Kluyveromyces lactis: one gene and its partners. The protein of the gene in region 1 binds, or shares a complex with, the protein of each later gene. Links are inferred from orthologs where the notes say so. Each region holds a gene or a part of one and is shown in the gene's direction. Other genes may lie near its edges.

Evidence for each region.
Region 2: KAE1 (region 1) and GON7 share a complex: the UniProt entries of both Saccharomyces cerevisiae proteins name them as parts of the EKC/KEOPS complex. The link is inferred for Kluyveromyces lactis from reciprocal best matches to the Saccharomyces cerevisiae genes KAE1 and GON7.
Region 3: KAE1 (region 1) and CGI121 share a complex: the UniProt entries of both Saccharomyces cerevisiae proteins name them as parts of the EKC/KEOPS complex. The link is inferred for Kluyveromyces lactis from reciprocal best matches to the Saccharomyces cerevisiae genes KAE1 and CGI121.
Region 4: KAE1 (region 1) and PCC1 share a complex: the UniProt entries of both Saccharomyces cerevisiae proteins name them as parts of the EKC/KEOPS complex. The link is inferred for Kluyveromyces lactis from reciprocal best matches to the Saccharomyces cerevisiae genes KAE1 and PCC1.

What each region holds. Positions count from the first base shown.
Region 1 is NC_006042.1:1,999,427-2,002,407, reverse strand, and holds KAE1 (tRNA N6-adenosine threonylcarbamoyltransferase), read left to right. Parts: upstream 1-1,273; coding exon 1,274-2,431; downstream 2,432-2,981. Other genes in the region: SPC34 (Spc34p), read left to right, coding at 2,777-2,981. UniProt on the Saccharomyces cerevisiae protein: Component of the EKC/KEOPS complex that is required for the formation of a threonylcarbamoyl group on adenosine at position 37 (t(6)A37) in tRNAs that read codons beginning with adenine.
Region 2 is NC_006037.1:564,644-567,058, forward strand, and holds GON7 (chromatin DNA-binding EKC/KEOPS complex subunit GON7), read left to right. Parts: upstream 1-1,532; coding exon 1,533-1,892; downstream 1,893-2,415. Other genes in the region: RIM1 (Rim1p), read left to right, coding at 784-1,176; FEN2 (Fen2p), read left to right, coding at 2,137-2,415. UniProt on the Saccharomyces cerevisiae protein: Component of the EKC/KEOPS complex that is required for the formation of a threonylcarbamoyl group on adenosine at position 37 (t(6)A37) in tRNAs that read codons beginning with adenine.
Region 3 is NC_006039.1:1,297,929-1,300,357, reverse strand, and holds CGI121 (Cgi121p), read left to right. Parts: upstream 1-1,394; coding exon 1,395-1,868; downstream 1,869-2,429. Other genes in the region: KLLA0_C14916g (uncharacterized protein), read left to right, coding at 1-38; LFT1 (Lft1p), read right to left, coding at 82-1,146; TFIIH/NER complex subunit TFB3, read right to left, coding at 2,060-2,429. UniProt on the Saccharomyces cerevisiae protein: Component of the EKC/KEOPS complex that is required for the formation of a threonylcarbamoyl group on adenosine at position 37 (t(6)A37) in tRNAs that read codons beginning with adenine.
Region 4 is NC_006037.1:48,881-51,241, reverse strand, and holds PCC1 (chromatin DNA-binding EKC/KEOPS complex subunit PCC1), read left to right. Parts: upstream 1-1,467; coding exon 1,468-1,502; intron 1,503-1,580; coding exon 1,581-1,809; downstream 1,810-2,361. Other genes in the region: KLLA0_A00550g (uncharacterized protein), read right to left, coding at 1-1,143. UniProt on the Saccharomyces cerevisiae protein: Component of the EKC/KEOPS complex that is required for the formation of a threonylcarbamoyl group on adenosine at position 37 (t(6)A37) in tRNAs that read codons beginning with adenine.

The sequences.
Region 1 (2,981 bases):
AATAAATTCATTGCTCTACTGTTGAAAGTTACAGTTATTAATAAGAGCTTAATATATACAAGAAGCCACAGAGCTGATCACGTGCTTTTGTGAACGAAAATATTCTCATTTGACACTTTCCACTGGGTTGCAATCAGTGGTAGAAAAGATCAGAAATTAAAAAAAATCTGGGGCGAGCTGGGAATTGAACCCAGGGCCTCTCGCATGCTTTGCAGTAGTTAAACTTCGTTTATCGAAGCTTCGCTAGGCTACTAACCCAAAGCGAGAATCATACCACTAGACCACACGCCCTCGCAATTTTGGCAGAAAACTTTTCTAGGTGTCCACAGAGTCTGTGAATGTCATGTGATCGGCGAATGAAGTCTTGAAGACCTCAGTTGCTAACTGATTTGCATGTTCAGCTCCTTCCTCTAGATTGAGGCTTCATACCTCACAGTGGTGTACGTATTTTAGAAGGTCTTTTATCAAACATTGCTGAAAGTTTATACTATCCCCCAATTAATTGCCCAATGGCAATTAATTCATATATTGAAGAAGTATTTATAACATTCTGTTGTTAATGATAAATATAAAGAGGCTAATGAGATAAAATTAGCTCAGGGAGTTTCACTGTCGTAGTAAAAAGATTTCCGCTGGTTGCAATTAATAAAAGGTATTTTTGCGTTGATTCAAAGGGTGAAATCCATTAATAAATTATCCAAAGATGCACATTGTTAGCACGTGGTTTCGGCTTCCGTACATAAATTAAAGGGAATTCAAGCAACTCAACGAATTAAATAGCTCGCGTGGCGTAATGGCAACGCGTCTGACTTCTAATCAGAAGATTGTGGGTTCGACCCCCACCGTGAGTGCTTTATTTCAAAATCCGCGATAGTTTAATGGTTAGAATTCGCGCTTGTCGCGTGCGAGATCGGGGTTCAATTCCCCGTCGCGGAGATCTTTTTTCATATCGAATCTGAAAATACGTTCTGTACACAATCTTTTCCCCTCAACGAGTGATTGACCAGCTATGACTATGTCTTGCAGTTTGATACACTTTTTCTGTTGTTGCTCCTCTTACTATGCTATCTTTTACTCACAAAATTGGTGTATATGATTTTTTGAAAAATTGGAATCTGAGAAAACCGAAAAGTTGAACTGAGATGAGTTGACTATCTTGATCTGTAATACAACTCCCTGAATATATAGTGTGTCTCACCAGTTCAACGTGTGTTCGTGCGATATTCATTGAAGGTATACCTATTATCGTCAAAAATTCTTTTTTCAGTAAGAGATGGTGAATTTAAACGGCATTCCACCAAGAGGTAAAAGGAACTATTATTTGGCAATTGGTCTTGAAGGATCTGCCAACAAGTTAGGCGTTGGTATTATCAAGCACCCAGTGCTAGAAAAACATGAAGATAGTGACCTTTCGTATGAGTGTGATGTTGAAATATTGGCTAATATTAGAGATACATATGTGACACCGCCAGGAGAAGGGTTTTTACCAAGAGATACTGCAAGACATCATAGGAATTGGGTGGTACGAATCATTAGAAAGGCATTAACGGAGGCCAAGATCGATGATCCCACAAAGATCGATGTGATATGTTTCACTAGAGGACCTGGAATGGGTGCTCCTTTGCATTGTGTGGTTATAGCTGCAAGGACTTTGTCATTGATGTGGGACATACCATTAGTTGGGGTTAACCACTGTGTGGGGCATATCGAGATGGGGAGAGAGATCACAGGAGCTAAAAATCCTGTCGTGCTCTATGTTAGTGGAGGTAACACTCAAGTTATTGCTTACTCCGAGAAAAGATATCGAATCTTTGGTGAAACGTTGGACATCGCCATTGGGAATTGTTTAGACAGATTTGCAAGAACTTTGAAGATACCGAATGCACCATCGCCTGGTTACAACATTGAACAACTGGCTAAACAGTGTAAGAATAAAGAAAAATTAGTGGTATTACCATACACTGTTAAGGGAATGGATCTGTCAATGAGTGGTATTTTGCAATATATTGACACTTTAGCGAAAGACCTATTCAAAAAGAACTTGAAGAATAAATTATTATTTGATTCAAGAACAGGAGAACAGCTTGTGACTGTAGAAGACCTATGTTACTCTTTACAGGAAAATTTATTTGCCATGCTTGTGGAGATTACCGAACGTGCAATGGCCCATGTAAACTCAAACCAAGTGCTAATAGTGGGTGGTGTTGGATGCAACGTTAGGCTTCAAGAGATGATGGCCCAAATGTGTAAAGACAGGTCCAATGGACAAGTACACGCAACTGATGACAGATTCTGTATTGATAATGGTGTGATGATTGCCCAGGCAGGCCTATTAGAGTACAGAACAGGCCACTTTGTTAAGGATCTTTCTGAAACCATTGTCACGCAGAAGTTTAGAACCGATGAGGTTTATATCGCATGGAGAGAATAATAATAGCCAATTCTGATTTTCTTGTTTATTTATCATCATATATAGAATAAAGTAAGCAATAGTTCTCGCTTAGCTTACCCCGATGTAAAGGCCGCATGAGCCTTAAAAGTCTTCTGTCAACCTTTTCCATTAACATAATGCCAACTCTTTTCACGTAAAGATTTCGTAAACACCGAAAACAAAAAAACTAAAATGTAAACATAATCGAGTTAAAAGATAAATGAATCATTTGGAGTATTTCAAGAAATTACATAGTATTGGATGAAATATTGTATTCCATAGCAGTTTCCTGAAAGAGGGTGGTGCCTAATCTGTACGTGTAGTGTTTTTTAACAACATCAAAGGATGTCTGGATCATTAGATTACTGCCTGGATCAGATATCAAAATCCGCGGAGTCAATATCGACCTTATATTTCAAACCGCCAGGCATCTTTAGAAATGCGATTGTACCAGGCAACAGCAAAGTGTACTCAGATCTTATAGTAAAGCTTATAAGAGATGGCGATTCAATTGAAGAAATGTCATTATACAGTACAGATAACGATGGAA
Region 2 (2,415 bases), on another chromosome or scaffold:
ACCGGTTCTGGTCTATATATTATTGATTTGAATTTGTACTTGAACTTAAACTGCGTTAAATAATATCGTTATCACACACTCCACAATTTACCAGTAATAGACCCACAGAGATTGTTCCTGTGAACGTACTCGTTTATATATCAGTACTCAGAATATCTAGAGTAAACCACGGGTTAGAATGAACGCACTCAAGTCAATCTGTAACGAAGATAGTCAAGTTTGTTATTTGAGTCAGGCATAGATACCAGGCCTTTAAAAGAACGAGATGACAGGGGAAAGACAAAGCCAACGAGGGGCATTTCATGTTGGAAACATTGACTCAAAACCGGGTAATGACAATAGAATACAAGGCACGTGATTATCACATGCTTCAATTACCCGGATAACAATGGTGATAACTCGAAGAGTTTCTTACTGGTAAAGACGCGATAAACGTAAATACCAGCAAATGCACTCGTTTCATGACAGCATAAACATTACAATATACGCCTCTGATATCTAATTTGTCACAAGAGAAACTAGAATCTCCATTTGCAATGCGAAACATTGCCACGGTTTCTCTTTTCCCGCATCTGCATGTTCTTTCTTATTGTAAATGTGCCATTTCTTACTCTCCGTTCATATACATTTTTGTTTATAAAGACATTTGATATAATTCGGTTTTATAAATTACCTTAACAAATATCAAGACTGAATTAGTATGAGAAGAATACGTGTGAAAATACAGTTATACTTCCCAGCCCAGTGATAAATTATCATTATCATTAAACAATTAAACACCCAATGTTCAGATTAGCCCAACGCCGTGCCTTTTCGGCCACTGCCCGCACCAATGATTTTGCCAAGATGTCCATTATCGGCCGTATTGGTAGCGAATACCAAGAGTTTACTACTGCTAACGATACTCGTTACTTGAAATACTCCATTGCTTCTCAGCCAAGAAAGGACAGCAACACAAACTGGTTCAATGTCACTGTTTTCAACACTAACCACATCAATTTCATGACACAATACGTCAAGAAAGGTGCTTTGGTTTACATCGAAGCTGATGCTTCTAACTATACTTTCGAAAGAGAAGATGGTTCCAGGGGCCAAAGTTTGAGTTTGGTTCAAAGGGATATCAACTTGTTGAAGAACCCAAAGGCACCTGAAACTGAAGAAGAACAACAAGCTTAAGAATGCTGTGATCTGTTAACCAATTCGTGTTGTTTTCTCTCGGCTGCTAATAATGTATTATTCCACATGGAGTATTTTTTTGACTACCTCTATATACTCTCTCTGTCTCTTAGTAATTACGTATAAATACTGTTTTTATCTAATAAGTTCTATCAAGGACATCTCGAATCTCACTCCCAGCCTTTACTTCTACTAGTATGCCTTTTTTTTTCCCCCATTGTGTCACAGGACATGTTCTGATGAATAGCATTTCTTATTTATCATATTGTCAAGATTTCTAATGTTAAATCATCATCTCATCTCATCAACAAGGTATTAAAAAGATAAAAAAGGGTATCGAACACAAGGATCAACCAATGTCTTTACCACACGCTACATATACCGGACCCAAATCAACTCATGAATTCGAAGTCGATCCTTCTGACCCCAGGTACCAGACTACGGAGGGAAGAACTACTGGTGCTTCAGATTATGTATTGAAACAAGGGCATCAAGACGTCGATAAACCTAGTGACCCAAAGAAGGTTGATAACGTCAATAGTAAGACAGGAATCGATCAATATACCACGCTTTCGCAACTGCGGATGCAATTGACCGGATTACAAGACGATATCAATGAGTATTTGACTGAGAAGATCAATCACGTGAAAAAACCTCGTAACAGCAAGCAAGAACAAGAGATAAACGATCTATTGGATGGTTCTGAAGAAACCTGAAGATTCTGCAGATCGAGAGCTTCGAATTCTGTCGTTTGAGTGTTGAATGGTATTTATACGTACTTATTATCTGTTTGTATATAAATAGTGTCATCAAATTGTACTATATCGTTCCGGTTTTTTGATCATCTTAAAGTTGGTGAGTCAACAGATTGTGACATCTCTTCAGAGAGAAATAGGTACTGGTATACACCGCCAAGAGTCCTAGAAGGACAGCTGAATAACATCAAAGTGTAATCACGCCATGGGCAAGCTATTTCGGGTCGATTTGACCGTTCTTTCTTTTGTCTGCTTGCAATATTGGATCAACTATGTGGATAGAATCGGTTTCACCAATGCTTATGTTTCCGGTATGAAAGAGGATCTCGGGTTCAAGTCAAATCAGTTCAATATCGCTAATACGTGTTTCACCGTTGGATATTTGTTAGGTATGATCCCTCATAATTTGATTCTATTGAGAATCAAACCTCGGATTTGGTTGAGTTTCTGCACTTTTGCTTGGGGTATTCTGACATTGTCAATG
Region 3 (2,429 bases), on another chromosome or scaffold:
AGGTATATAGTTACAGTGCTAATGTAGATGATATTTAAATAGGATGAGAAATAAATATATTAGGCCTAAAAAAAGTACGTATCACAGTATTAACGGTGGCGTTGAACACTTTAAGTGTTCCTCGTCATCGTCGAGGTCTATTAGCGACAGGTGATGGTTAATGTTGTCCGATACTGCGTTATTGGTAATAGTCTGAGTGTTATCGGGATCAGAGAAAGGAATCGATAACGTGGGGGACCGCGAATTCGGTGATACAACACCAATTTTATAATCTTCAAGCTCTGGCGACCTAGCTTTGTCTCTGTGGTTTCCTTCGTCAGTATGATGGGTAAGGGATCCCCAAAACCAAAATTTGCTCTTCCTTTTCTCCTTTGGTCGCTTCTTCTTCTCTCTCGGTAAAGCTTTGGCGACAAATGGTTCCAAGGGATCCATTTTAAATTTCGGCTTGACATCATCACCATCCTGTGAAGGCAGATTGTTTCTATCATTTTTATCCCGCAGTTTATTGAGCAGAATTTGCTTACTTCTTAATTCATGAGCGCTTTTCATTGCTTTACTCCGTAGTATTTCATTTGTTGATTTCTTATTGGAATGCGGTTCCAAAGGCTTCTTTGGTGCGGTCAGCTCCGGTCGATGAGCATTTGAACTCCATGCAAATGTAACATTCTGTGTAGTCATTGAACTGTTGTTTAAACTACTGGAACCGTGGTTCGTTTCCTCACGTCTCCATTCTTCTTTGATTTCATGATATTTATCTATCATGGGGGTTTTTAATGGTTCAGACCACTTATCATAATTTGGGTCTCTTATGCGTAAGAGTTTGTCTTTATGTCGGGCTATCACCTCGTCTGCTAGCTTATATACCATGGCTTTTGTTTTTGAACCCTTTTTAGTATCGTCTAAATCCTCGAAGAAGCCTGCCTTTTCGAATTGTTCTACAGCTGTACGAACTTTTCTAATATATTCGTCATCATCATCATCTTTCTGATTCTCAAGCTTATTCCCCAGTGGTTGTTCGGTAGCAATTGGTTCTTTATGCGCTGCTGGTCGTTCGAGATCATTTGGTCCTTGATCCCGTACTACTTCGCTCAACTGCCTTTCCTCAAAAACACTATCCCAAACGTTTTCCTCGTCTGGAAGCTCCATTGACAGTACATATACCGTTGATATAGCAAAGTGATCACTTATTGTGTTTTCTTGTTCTGAACCTTTTGTAAAGTTTGTGTACTCATGGTTTTCTATCAATCTTTCTACGCTAGAAACTACTCGGATTGATTTGAAAGATTTAAATAGTAAGTCAGTAACAGTACAGATAATCAGAAAGTGAAGTTAAAAGAAGGACCGATAGTAGGCGACTTGCATCCAAGAAGTTCCAAGAGCTCATCACAAGACAAATGGCTGGAATAGTTTTGAAGTACAAGATTCCTCAGTTTCAGGAGTATACTATTCATGTTCAGAAGTATAACAATGTTACCAATTCTTCTGAGCTACGATCCAAATTGGCTGAATTACCTTTTGCATACATCGACTCCAAAACTGTGATATCCGTTGAACAATTGTCGAGTGCCATCTATAAGGCTATTTTGGAAACAGAGTACAATAGAATGCGGACAAGAACTATCCATTCTGAATGCATTTTATCACTATCTCCTAGTTCGAACATTGGCGATGCATTGAACAGATTTGGTATAAAGGAAGGAACAACTGATATAATTGTGATCAAAATCATTGAAGACAGTAATGAAGAACCCTATGATGGCAATGCTTCCGTTGATGGGGACCTAGTTCCAGTCTCGGATGATGAGTTTTCTACATCTGCCGATAAAGAAATTATCAAAACGGTATGTATTCCTTGTGATAAGTTATGAACAAATGAGAAGACTCTTAATAATGAATAGATTACTAACCTAAATGCTATATGATTATGATGAGGATAAAGAGCTACCGAGCTCTTTACCATTGTACTATGTGTTTTTTTTTTCGGTAGAATTACAAATTGAATAAAGTAGGAGATGTATCAAACGAAGAGTTATCAACACTTGCCGTCAACGCGATACAACTAAGAGGATTGTAATTCTTCGCTAATGATACAACCAAGACCCATGAATGCCTCTGTTAACATTCTATCATAAATGAAGTCCGCCCTGAATCCTGAGGCTATATATTCCTTCTTCTTTTGTAAGTCTCTGATGAAAGAATCATTATACTCGTTTTCAACCAATTCGTATCTTTTGTGTAAATCCCTGTCCCCATTGAATGGTGTGAACGGTACAGTATCTTTCTTCTTCATTCTACCATTTGTCATTGTCATGTAAGGATTGTTTCTTAACACTTTATTTAATTCTTCGAGCTTCCTTCTGGCAGAGGATTTCTTTAGCTTGACAGTCTTTTTCACATTTTCAATAACTTCCTCAGCATCTTCATTCACT
Region 4 (2,361 bases), on another chromosome or scaffold:
TTATAAAGAATGTAGTACTTTTAATGATGGCTCCGTACAAGTCTCAATTCTTATCGTGGATGGTGGAGTATTCTTTCCCTCTAACTCTAGTAAGTTAAGAAGTTGCCCATCACAGCAAACTTCAAAGTTGCTCTTTTGTGACGGATCGTCTAGTACTTCGACGTTAAAACAAAATGGCAGTGGTCTGTAAAACGTTCCATTCTGTAAGATGTTTGAATGCTTCGTATTTGAATAACCCATAAATACCCTTTTCTGGAATTCTACTCTATCCAGAGAAGACTGGTATGCCAATACATGTAGTTGTGATTCCAATGGATCAGAATCGGGAGATGGCATATAAGTTGGCTCCAGATTTGTGGTATTTATTAACGCAAAATAACTAAAAGATCCTTCCAGAATATCGGGAATAGAGACGCGAGATTCGAGCTTGTATTCTCTTAAAATTCGCTGGCTAGCAACTCTAAACCTTTCAATGCCCATTTTCTGGTACTCATCTTCTTCGCAGAGATGAAGTAAATTTGCATGAAATCCCAGTGACAAAATTATGAAGAATTTAAGGACATAACCGTTGTCAAAAGTTGCCCTATACAACGGGAAATCGTTGCAGGACAACTTACCATTGACAAATTGTGAGAATATGACAGCTGGATCCATCAACTTCAAAGAGCTTGCCCATGCATTTCCTGTACCCATTGGGAATGGAAGCACTGAAATACAGTCGTGGTTCAAGGGCAGGTTATTAACGAATTCTGATATCGATGTATCACCAGAAAGAAAGAGAACAGTGTACTGTCTAGTGCTGTCAATGCTCGAGGCCAGTTCTATGACAGATGACTTGGATGTAGTTTTTATTAGGCGGTAAGGGACAATAACCTGCTCAAAGAATTGTGCTATGACGTTCGTGGCGAAATCGCAGTCTTTATCCCGGCCAGATCCTGAAAACACCGAATCTACGATGAGCAGTTCCCCCGAATATTCAAATTTCTTATTAGCGAGAAGCTTCTCATCATCTAAGAGTTTCGAACCAAGTTGGTACGATTTAGCACCTTCTGCTAAAAGCTTTGTGACAATTGTAAATGAGACACCGTTATATATCCCTAATTCTTGTTTAGTTACGTTAGACTCGTCAGGCATTCTGGCCATGAGAAAATTTTATCCTTGAAGATCGGCCTGCCAATCCTTAGCTGATAATAAATTATCTTCGCACCTGGTACCAGGACGGGCATTTTGATAGTAAGTCAGATATTAAAGACTTAAATCCATGCTTGATCTAAACTACCTTCAAACTTGATGTTCTGTTATTTTTACCCAATTAGAAATCAAAAAAGTCTTCGAAAAACGCATCCGTACTGTGTGTGGTTCATGTTCAGGATGAACTTATTGACTTTGAGATCTTTATGAATGATACACACTTGAAACTTGCTGCAGTAGTGAGTTCAATCAGCGGATAAATAGTACTCTTTTAAGATGAATAAAGGAGACACGTCTTTCGAGCACTCTTTGTATGTTATTTCTGGCTCTTATGAATGCAAGTTTATAACTTGAAATACTAACAAGTTGTGATGTAAAATGCCGTACAGACATTTGGAAATACCATTTGAAAGCATTAAACAAGCTGATGTAGCAAGGAAAGTGCTGCTTCCAGACCCCATCATGAAACCAGAGGATTTCCAAGTTACTTATTCTACGCAAGACACCAAACTTATATGTGATTTTGAAAGCGTTGACGAGCGTATTTTACGTGTAGGTGTGAACAGTGTCATTGAATCAATCAAGACAATCGTAGAAACTATTGATGAGTTGTGCTAATGCAAACAGAACAGTACACGTTCGGGGTGCCTTTTCATCATCTTCCCATCTTTCTATTACTTTCTAACCTATGGTACTATGAAATTTCTTAAGGCAGAAAAACTAAACGCAGAACAATTTGTGTCATTGCATTCGTTATTCATATTATGCAGGAACGAAAGTGAAGAAAAAAGTTAAGGATCAAGCCTAGCAATATTTACCAACAGTGTCATGAAATCCCTAAGTCTATAGCCAAGTTCTACAATAAAGCATCGTACTGATTAGCGACAATTCGTATCCATGCATTAGAATCAAAGAAGACCGTCGTCATGTGAGATGTCGTTACCATTTCGAGTTGTGGAGACACGCAGAGTACATCACCAGCTTTCAGACGAAGAAAAGAAAAATGATTGAGGTAATATGTAAAGGTTTGGCAAACAGATACAAACCGGTCGTAGAACTTTTCCTTTCCCCTTCCGTTTCCAAGCCAACTTATTAATGTATATATACATATGCCTTACTATCAATTTTTTAAATCTTACACAAATAAGCAGTTCAACATGTCGACTGTCT